Arabidopsis thaliana: one gene and its partner. The protein of the gene in region 2 purifies or fractionates together with the protein of the main gene of each other region. This does not show direct contact. Each region holds a gene or a part of one and is shown on either strand. Other genes may lie near its edges.

What was found. Proteins that work in one complex are often made in the same cells at the same time.
Region 1: the proteins of ERF1-3 (region 2) and AT2G04520 fractionate together in Arabidopsis thaliana (co-fractionation; one large-scale study listed by BioGRID). This does not show direct contact.

Annotation. Positions count from the first base shown.
Region 1 is NC_003071.7:1,573,461-1,578,991, forward strand, and holds AT2G04520 (Nucleic acid-binding, OB-fold-like protein), read right to left. Parts: upstream 2,501-5,531; 5' UTR 2,240-2,500; intron 1,785-2,239; 5' UTR 1,780-1,784; coding exon 1,342-1,779; 3' UTR 1,102-1,341; downstream 1-1,101. Other genes in the region: AT2G04515 (uncharacterized protein), read left to right, coding at 261-851; CPZ (Metallo-hydrolase/oxidoreductase superfamily protein), read left to right, coding at 3,348-3,734, 4,002-4,164, 4,239-4,309, 4,375-4,470, 4,546-4,659, 4,752-4,820, 4,896-4,970, 5,062-5,151.
Region 2 is NC_003074.8:9,785,522-9,791,202, forward strand, and holds ERF1-3 (eukaryotic release factor 1-3), read left to right. Parts: upstream 1-2,709; 5' UTR 2,710-3,122; intron 3,123-3,288; 5' UTR 3,289-3,332; coding exon 3,333-4,640; 3' UTR 4,641-4,930; downstream 4,931-5,681. Other genes in the region: AT3G26616 (uncharacterized protein), read right to left, coding at 2,053-2,441, 2,584-2,620; LBD23 (LOB domain-containing protein 23), read left to right, coding at 5,107-5,259, 5,379-5,591. UniProt on the Arabidopsis thaliana protein: Directs the termination of nascent peptide synthesis (translation) in response to the termination codons UAA, UAG and UGA. Modulates plant growth and development.

The DNA.
Region 1 (5,531 bases), on a different chromosome or scaffold from region 2:
TTTAAGCTAAGTTAGGGATATATTAAAAATAATCAAACAAAAAAAAACTAAAGATTAATTTGGTGTGAATGGTTCAAAAGAGTAATTTAACCAAAAGAAATAATAATTAAAATGGTGAAATTATACACAACCCACCCACTAATCTATAAAAAAGAAATAGGTTCCGCAAACTTGTTGCGCATTCACCATTCTTTTTCTCAATTCAAAGGCAAGACACATAGAGCAAGAGAGATATAAAGAGAGAGATAGAGATAGATGAGATGGAATCTCAAAAACAAGAAAGAAGCGTGAAGGAGATGAAAATAGTCACTAAGATCATAGCATTTGCATCCATTTTCTCATTTATACTATCTTACTCTTCCTTAATCTCTTCTCTTCAACAAAGACTCCATTTGCTTGCCATGTATAGCAATCTTGTGGACAAGAAGTACATGTTCTTGTTATGCAATGGGATTGTGGGCTTTATCTTGGGGAGTTTCCATGGGAATTCTGACTCCCTTTCGCACGGTAAAGCCATTAACATCGTTGAACAAACCAAAGAAGTAGGGATCAAAGACTTAAAAGAAACAAAAGTCAATAAAGTAGTGGCATTACTTGAAGAAAGTAATGTTTCTAAAGAAGAAGAAGGAAGAGTTGTTTTATCTAGAGAAGAAGAAGAAGAAGTTGCATTGGTTGTTAAGGAAGATGAGGGAATACTAGTACAAGACCTCTCAATCACTAGACTAGATGATCATGATGATGACGATGCGATAAATGATAGTTTATTAAGTTCAGAAGATTTGAACAAGAAATGTGAGGATTTCATCAGGAAGATGAAGGCAGAGATTCGATACGGCAAGAGAAGTATATAACTTTTTTGAGTTTTGTTAACAAGTTAAACTGTCTTTAGTATTCATATTCGGCAGGAGAAGTATATAATTTTCTCTCTTTGGACAAGTAGATTCTGTATTTTTGGTGCCCACTTTTATGTATGTCATCCATATGAATCCATGCAACATAATGCTTTCTATATCAAGCATTATCAGCTTACTATGTTTTACTCTCTTAAGCTGAACTGAATTCACTTTCAGCTTCAGCATTCGCATAATCATTTCGATTCATCTTCTCTGTACCAGCTAAACTTAAGAGTGTGAAGCAACAGTGACACACAACATTTTGAATGGATTGCGAAGAAAGACAAACTTATGCAACAAGAACACCAAGGAAACCAACAATAGAGATATTGAAGAACAAAATATAAAACAGTAAGTATCTTGCAACAACAGTGATGTTTTATCACCAGAAGTCATACGTCTCACAAATTGGAAATACAAGCCGGAAAAAAAAAAAACAAACAAAGCCTTAGATCCTATCGATATCTTCGTCCTCAAACTCAACATAGTCATCATCATTATTATCATCATCATCCTCAAGATCACCAACAATTCCTTCATTAAGACGAGTATTCTCTGGAAGCTCACCATAAGCCTTAAGAAGCCTAGCCTCATCAGACATGTACTTAAGGATCACATCCGCTTTGTCATCTTGGTAATCCCTCAAACCAACAAGCACAATATCACCTGCTGCAATCCAAACCTTCTTATGCATCTTACCACGGATATGGCAAAGACGCTTGGTTCCATCGATACACATAGCTTCACATCTTCCATTTCCAAGCATACGAAGGACTTGTGCGTATTCTTGTCCATCTTCTTTGAATATAAGCTCTCTCTTCTCGTCATCTGCTTCGTTCTTTCCTCTCTTCCTGTTCTTTCCTCCCTTTCCCTTGTTCTTCGGCATAGTATCTACATACCAATCATACAAATGTTCAGTTAAAAGTTCTTCCTTTAAACATGCAAAGCAATACTCTTCTCTCTTATAATCTACATAAGCCTCTCAAACTTAAAGGACCAAAGCAAAACAAATACCAAAACAAGAACCTTTAAATCGCAAATGAAACCTAAAACCAAAAAAGAGACTTAACGATTAAGCTAAGCTATTAGATTGAATCAAAGTGACAAACTTGAAGAAACCAATCTAGGGTTTTCAATAAAAATCGTAACTTTGAATTGGGATTGAGCAATTTCGCATGAAAAATCAAAACTTGACAAGAATCAAACAAAACCCAACAGTTTCTGATCAATAATTTCTAGATAAGGAAGATCGATCGGCGATAAAGACTTTCGCCGCCGACGCAATTACTGAAAACCCTAAAATCGAGAATCAGGAGTAAGAGACGAAAGAAGAACACGAAGCTCACCACTATGGAACGATTCGAATCTGAGATTAAGCTAGAGAAAACCCTTGGAAGCGATAGATTCAGAGATATCTGTTGAATTTGGGATCAAAAGTTTTGTAGCTTGCGGCTGCGAAAATGTTCTCGATATCTCCAGAAATCTGTTTATAATAAAAGTAAACGTGTTTTGATTGTTGCCCTTAGTTTTAGGTTTTATTACGGAACCTTACCACTCATTCAATCTGAGTATCTGACATTTGGTTTGGTTTAGTTTTTCGATTTTCTATTTGGTTGGATTGAAAAATCGTTAGTTCGGTTTGAGTATTATATCAATTTTGGATCTAAGACCGTAAAACCTTTCTTAAAAAAAAGAAAAAAAACAGTTAAACCTCTAAAAATTATAATATTACAGTAAAATTTCTATAAATTAATATTCGATAAACTAATAGTTTTTATAAATTAACAAATTCTTCCGATTTTGAGTTGTAACTATAGTAAAAATTAATACAAATCGATAAATTAATAAAATAATTTTTATTAAAAAAATCATTGTATAAAATTAATATAATATGCTCTCATCAATATCATAAATTAATAATTTTATAAATTCCTTAAAATATATATATATAAGAAATTTTAGTGAAACATAACCTTTGCTATATTCCTTTTTCATTTTTAATATTTTTACTACATTCAAAACTCTTTTTGTTGTTGTCTATACATAATAAATTTTAATTATTTTGTAATTGGTTCTAAAAAGATAATAATTACAAATAAAAAAAATCTTTTTTAGAAAAAATCTTTTAAAAATTACAAAATTAGTTTAAACTCTCTATAAATTAATAGTACTTTTATAAATTAATAAAATTTTATTGTATGATGAATAGTTGAATACCTCTATAAATTTTGTTACAAATGTTGGATACATATATACAAATTACAATCTATACTAAACCAAATTAACCGAAAAACAATCCTAACCAGCATTAAACCGGAGCTATACATATGTAGTAGATCAGTTTAATTTGGTCTCACTCAATCCCAAGAAAAAGGCCGTTCTTTGCATTTTCTATCGTTTCATGTCTGAGTGACAGAGGAAACCCCAAAAACCTCCGTAAAACCTCACAAAAGAATGCAGCTTTCTTCTTCGTTTCCAATTTCACCTCCCAAAATCTTCCCTTCCACCAAACACCATAAACCTCCAGTGATTACTCACCAGCTCGCCGCACAGATACAGAGCAACCGTAGACATTTCGTGAGTCCCGTCAAAGTCTCTGGCTATTTCTCATCGATTAGCCGAGCTATTGAGGAAGAAGAAGAGTATCGGAAAGCACGCGCTGCAGTGAACCGTAAAGGTGTCGAATTGGAGAGTTATGCAATTGAAGGGATCTCTGTAGGTGGGCACGAGACTTGTGTTATCGTCCCTGAGCTCAAATGTGTCTTTGATATTGGGAGGTGCCCTTCTCGTGCTATTCAGCAGAAGTTTCTTTTTATCACTCATGCCCATCTTGACCATATCGTGAGTTGTTCAAAATTTGAGTCTTTCTTCAAAACCCTCTTTAGATTTCGTTTAAAGTTTCGGCCTTTTGATTGAATTGTGGATGAATCTTAGTGTTGAATTGATGATACATTTTAGTTCAAAATAGAGCCATTGTACTATGATTTGGAAGGATAAGGATTAGTTTTGTTGAACATACTTTTAGATTTGGTTTGATGTTTCTGCTTATTGATTGAGTTATGGGATCTTTTGTATGAATCTTGTGGCTAAGTTTAGTGTTTTCTTCAGGGAGGGCTTCCAATGTATGTAGCGAGCCGTGGTTTATACAATCTTGAGCCACCGAAAATATTTGTGCCACCATCTATTAAAGAAGATGTTGAGAAACTTCTTGAGATTCACAGGACTATGGGTCAAGTAGAGTTGAATGTAGAATTGATACCACTTGCTGTAGGTAATGACATAGTGACTTGTTAAAAGCCAACCTTGTTTAGATAGCGAATCTGAGTTCTTTGTTGGTGGTGGCAGGTGAAACATATGAGTTGCGCAATGACATTGTTGTTAGACCATTTGCAACTCACCATGTTATACCAAGTCAGGTACTACACATCGTGAATGTGGCATGAGAGCGTCTTTTTTTTTTACTGATCTTGAGTTCTTTTAGGGTTATGTCATCTATTCGGTCAGGAAGAAGTTGCAGAAGCAGTATGCTCACCTCAAAGGAAAACAGATAGAAAAGATTAAAAAGTCTGGCGTCGAGGTTTGTTGCTTATAATAAGCCATATTTCTGATATTGAGGTTTGATAAAGTACAATAATATTGAACTTAATTACAGATTACGGACACGATATTATCCCCCGAGATAGCCTTCACTGGAGATACAACTTCAGAGTATATGCTTGACCCTCGTAATGCTGATGCGTTGAGGGCAAAAGTTCTTATAACTGAGGTACTTACTTGAATCCTATTGGCGGTACTGTTATATCATTTTAAAACTTCACTGGATTATGTTATAGTTTCTGAGCTTAACCGATCTGGCAGGCAACTTTCTTGGATGAAAGTTTTAGCACTGAGCATGCGCAAGCACTCGGTCATACTCATATATCTCAGGTACGATCCTATTTATGTTCAAACACACCTGTAAAAAGCACACTGTAAGAGGAATTTTCCATGAACAAATTGCAGATTATTGAGAATGCAAAGTGGATCCGGAGCAAAACTGTATTATTGACGCATTTCTCATCACGTTACCATGTAGAGGTGAGAGTCTGAATTTGGCTTTCATGTTCTTAGTAAAAGTTTTAGCCCCTTATGTTGTATTTCATCTTAATACTTGTGGTTGCAATGGCAGGAAATCCGTGAAGCTGTGCTTAAGTTGCAATCGAAAGTATCCGCAAAAGTCATTCCTCTTACAGAAGGTTTCAGGTCAAGATATTCTTAAAAGAGCTTAAAGGATATTGCAAGCAAAAGTAGGCATTTGAAACATCTTTGTCTGTAATTTCATAGGGAACTCGCTAATGTAAGTTAAATGAAAAAAAGTTATCAAGATTATAAAAAAAATACTTGTTAAACAAGCAATAGCAGTATCATAAAAGATTAAGAAAGTCGTCAAATTGCAGAGATGGGTAAGTGATGACACTGTGACGGAGTGATTATTATCTTTGAAGTTGTTAGTGAAGACTTGTTCAATTCTCATTAGCACGTTTCTGAAACAAGAATGAGCCTTTTGCTGTAGTTGTGGATTATCTTGGTTTCTTACATGATTGAATTTTAAGTGATTGAATTTTTGTATTTGTGTTACAATAAGAATTTGAATTTTAT
Region 2 (5,681 bases):
AGTGGATATAACCCGCATCAAACCTAGCTTTCAGCAAGCTAGAGAACACCTCCATCGCAAGAACAAATAAGTACGGCGATAAAGGATCACCTTGTCTCAACCCTTTGTTACTTTTAAAAAACCCACTGCTAGAACCATTAACCATGACTGAAAAATAGGGCGTTGAAATGCACTGATTGATCCAGCAAACAAACTTTTCAGGGACTGCGAGAGCACGGAAGGCTGAGATGATGAAATCCCATCTGACGCTATCAAACGCTTTCCGAAGATCCACTTTAAGCATACCCCGAGAGCTGATATTTTTAGTGTTGTAACCATGCACAATTTCAGTAGCTAACAAGACGTTTTCCGAAAGTAAACGACCAGGAAGGAACGCAGACTGAGACGGAGAAATCACCTCATTTAAAAGCTTCTTTAGCCTAGAAGTCAGCAGCTTAGCTATCACTTTATACAAAGTGTTTAAGCAAGAGATTGGCCTAAAGTCAGTCATCTTTGAAGAGTTTGTGATTTTTGGAATAAGGACCAAAGTTGTTGCGTTCCACTGCTTCAATAACTGACCTGAACGAAAAAATTCTTGGACTGCTTCAGTCACCTCTGGACCCACAACAAACCAAACACCTTTAAAGAACTCAGAGGAATAGCCGTCAGGGCCGCTAGCTTTGTTCCTGGGCAAAGAGAAGAAAGCCTCTTGAATATCAAGATCCGAGAAACTCCTTTCCAAGTCATTAATCTGATCCACAGAACATCTGAAAGAAAGAAGCAGATTCATATCACTCTGTGCCAAAGAGTTCTCGCCCTCTACACCACATAGGAGGGATTCAAAAAAATTACAGCTATGCTCCTTTATGCCCTCCTTTATGCCCTGCTGGGTCTCAATCCTTTCACCAAAATCATCAATCAAGAAATTTATTGTATTAATCGATTTACGCATGTCAGCCATCTTATGAAAGTAAGCAGTATTATTATCACCCTCATATAACCAAGAGATACTTGACTTCTGGCAGAAAAAACTCTCCTCAGCCTTAGCAAGAATTTGCCATTTTCTGGTGGCCTCCAACTCAAGTGTAGCATGAACAACAGAAGGGTTGGTAAGAGTAATCCTTTGACGGTGGAGCACAATAGCATGGGCCTCAGAGACCCTTTTCTCAATATCAGAGTAGTTCTCTCTACTAAAACAACAAATAGGGAGCTTAAGGTGCTTAAGCTTTTTGGAGACCCTGTACATCGCAGAACCAGAGACATTGCAAGAGTACCAATTCTCACGAATCAGCTGCAAGAAATCCGGGTTATGTAAGAAATAGTTGAAGAACCGAAAAGGTCGCTTTGCTTTCAAGACCGCTGGATCTAACACCACCTCACAAGAGCTGTGGTCAGAGAAATCTGGCTCACCGAAGTTCGCGTAAGCGGATGGGAAGAGAGTGTTCCAATGATCATTGACCAAAATTCTATCTATCTTTTTTGCCAAAGGTCTAGAGCTGCACTTATTCCACCAAGTGTAAGAACTACCTTTGTAGACGAGGTCATACAAATCAGAATCAAGCAAGCAACTTCTGAACGCACGAATCTTCCTGCCAATATTTGCATTGATAGCACTTTCCGGATTTAAGATTTGATTAAAGTCGCCAAGAACAATCCACGACCTGCCAACAACAACCGGAGATAAGGCAAGCTGAACCAACTCATTCCAAAGCTCTTTTCTGGTACCCTCCTCATTTGAAGCGTAAACAATAGACACCACAAACCAAGAAGGAGAATCAGGAAGAAGAAGCTCACATGTGATCATTTGCAGGGACCTACCAATAACAACTACCTTCACACTTGGATCCCACAAAACCCATATTTTTCCCAAAACAGAGAATTCATAATTCTCAACAAAAGACCAGCCAGGCAAAAGGTTAGAGATGAACTTCTTCTCCTTAGGCTGCTTTACATGTGTCTCAATGAGACCTCCAAAAAGTGGTTTATTCAAAAGAAACCATTTCTTAAAACCGCGGCGGTGACTGGAAATATTAAATCCGCGAACATTCCAACAAAAGAGCTTAGTACACATACTTAAGCTTTGGTTTTGAGGCCCTTGCCTCGTAGATTCCTCTTCTGACGCTTAGACAAAACCTTGATGAAAGCCTCTTCTTCAGTGTCAGTAGATAACACGTCAGAGGAATCATCCTCAACTGCACAAACTGTGCCTGAACAAATGCCAACCTCCTCATTTTCAGTTGCATTATCAATGATTACAGCAAACTGTCCAACACTTGAATCTCCTTTCTGGACCTTATCCAAACCGAGAGAGATCCCATTGGTCTGAACTGAAATAGACCCAAAAACACTATCTTCAACCTTAAGAGACTTGGACTTAGCCACATTCTTCACAGACCAAACTAAGCCACCATCTTCCTTTCCTTTGACAGGGAGCCGAGTTTGAGTCTCTTGACCCAGAGAAGCTTCACAGACCAAACTAAGTCCAAATAATAAAATCAGTAATTTATCAAATTGAACTTTTTTTCTCCATCTTATACTTATTATTTATTGTAAATTATGAGAATTATTAAACAGACGTATGGGCTTAGGTTCCTTCGGACAGACGATATTTCTTTCTCGACACTTCCTTCTTCTTCTCCATGTTTTTGATGAACACCTTTAATGATCTTTTTTGCGTAGAATCCTGGCGAACGGCTATAATTGTATAATCGTTGGAGATCTCCTAATAAATCACAGTATCTGAGATTCGAATTCCAAATCCCTAGGTGTATTAATGAACATTTGGTCAACCAAACCAATGTACCACCAAAGGGGCTTACACGAACTTTACTTTTCTTTAGGAAGAAAAATAAAAGTCAGTTCAAAAAAATACATTGTCCGTTTATAATGGGCTTTTAACGTTAAAGCCAAGCCCATAATGATACATGACAGCCCATTCATTTTAGTACTCTAATTTGGGGTGAATAATCCGTCCCGCGTTAAAAAACACAGAATCAAAATTACTTCATATCTTCTTCACGTGAGAGTCACGTGTTCGGTAAAAGTGGTTGAAAGTTGAAACCCATTGGGGAACAAAAACCTAAAGGAGTCTCATTTCTGCTGGGTCGAGAAATCGCTGATAGAGAGTAGAGAGACACACGCAGGTACGTGAATCTTCGCGACTTCGATCTCTTTGTGTATCAAATCAATCCGTTCTTGTTAAAGTTTTCATTTTTAATCTTCCAATTTCAATCTGGGTCTACTTAAATCAATCGAAATCTCAATTTCAAGCTGATTCTTATAAAGTTTCGATTTTTCTTGCTGTTTTAGATTTTGAGCTGCGTGCTCTGTTTTAAGCTTGAAGGAGGAAAAACATGGCAGACCAAGAATCAGATAAGAACATTGAGATTTGGAAGATTAAGAAGCTAATCAAAGGACTTGAAACCGCAAGAGGTAATGGAACAAGTATGATCTCTCTTATAATGCCTCCTAGAGATCAAGTAGCTCGTGTCACTAAGATGCTTGCTGATGAATACGGAACCGCCTCAAACATCAAGAGTCGAGTGAATCGTCAATCTGTTTTATCTGCCATTACTTCTGCTCAACAAAGATTGAAGCTTTACAACAAAGTTCCTCCGAATGGTCTTGTTCTCTATACTGGAACCATTGTTACTGATGATGGTAAAGAGAAGAAAGTGACGATTGATTTCGAGCCTTTTAAACCGATTAATGCTTCGTTGTATTTGTGTGACAATAAGTTCCACACCGAGCCTTTGAATGAGCTTTTGGAGTCTGATGATAAGTTTGGTTTCATTGTTATGGATGGAAATGGAACTTTGTTTGGTACTTTGAGTGGGAATACAAGAGAGGTTCTTCATAAGTTCACTGTCGATCTTCCGAAAAAGCACGGAAGAGGAGGACAATCTGCGTTGCGATTTGCTCGTCTTAGGATGGAGAAGAGACATAACTATGTGAGGAAAACCGCGGAGCTTGCCACTCAGTTTTACATTAATCCAGCTACGAGTCAGCCTAATGTCTCTGGTCTTATACTTGCTGGTTCAGCGGATTTTAAGACCGAGCTAAGTCAATCAGAACTGTTTGATCCTCGTCTTCAAGCTAAGATATTGAATGTGGTTGATGTTTCTTACGGAGGAGAGAATGGTTTCAACCAAGCAATTGAGCTGTCTGCTGAGATTCTATCTAATGTGAAGTTCATACAAGAAAAGAAATTGATTGGGAAGTACTTTGAGGAGATTAGTCAAGACACTGGGAAATATGTTTTCGGTGTTGAAGATACTTTAAAGGCTCTGGAAATGGGTGCTGTTGAGACTCTTATAGTGTGGGAGAATCTAGATATTAATAGGTATGAGTTAAAGAACAACACGACCGGAGAAATCGTGATTAAGCATTTGGGAAAGGATCAAGAGAACAACCAAAGCAATTTCCATGATGCAGAGACTAATGCAGAGTTAGAAGTTCAGGAGAAGATGCCTCTGCTTGAATGGTTTGCTAACGAATATAAACGTTTTGGTTGTACACTTGAGTTTGTGACTAACAAGTCCCAAGAAGGATCACAATTTTGCAGAGGCTTTGGCGGTATTGGTGGATTGTTGCGGTACCAGCTTGATATGAGGACATTCGATGAATTATCCGATGGTGAAGTTTATGAAGACTCAGATTAAGTAAGAGAAAATGTGGTTTAAGATCTGAAGAAGGATTTGAAGTTTGGGGAAAAAAAGAAAGACTATGAACTTTTGTTTGATATACTTTGTCTCTCTCTATTATCTTCTGTTGCCGCTTTTAAGTTTTTCTGAAACAGTTATGTTAAAATGTATGAGAAATTTGAGCTTCATTATACTCTATTTTGAAGACATTTCTTATTGCCTATTTGAGAATTAGCTAAACATTAATATTGCCTTAACAGTAATGTTAACGGTAATATAAAGTCTAATTAGTCTAAGTGAGAATCAACATAAATAGTCTTACCTTAAGTAAATGTTCTCAAATTTCAGAAACTGGAAACTAGCCGTTTGATTATTGGAAAAGAAAGGAAACGAAAAGGAATACAAATAGCTAAATCTTTGTGTAAGATTTCACAATCTCTTCTTTTGTGTTATTTGTTTATATTTGTGTCTGAGAAAATCTGAGATGAATCCAAAAAGATGTGCAGCTTGCAAGTATCTGAGAAGAAGATGTCCAAAAGATTGCGTATTCTCACCATATTTCCCTCCAAACGATCCTCAAAAATTTGCATGTGTCCACAGAATCTATGGTGCTGGAAACGTTTCCAAAATGCTTCAGGTATATATATCTATACACATCTTTGTGTATCTTCTTCTAATATCCTATTTAAGATCACACTTTATGCATATATATAAGTAAGTGTATTCATGGTTGGATTTTGGTGATCTTTTTGACAGCAACTTCCTGATCAGACAAGAGCTGAAGCAGTGGAATCTTTGTGCTTTGAAGCAAAATGCAGAGTAGATGATCCTGTTTATGGTTGTGTTGGCATTATTCATTTACTTAAAACTCAGATTCAGAAAACTCAGAATGAATTAGCCAAAACTCAAGCTGAGATTGCTGTTGCTCAAACCAAACTTAGCCAAACCCATATTTCTGATTTTATGTAATATCTCTCAGTTTCAACAATAAATTCTCCTCTGCATTTTCGTTTCCGATTGCTTCTACTTATAAGATAGTGATCTTCTTTAACTTTAACT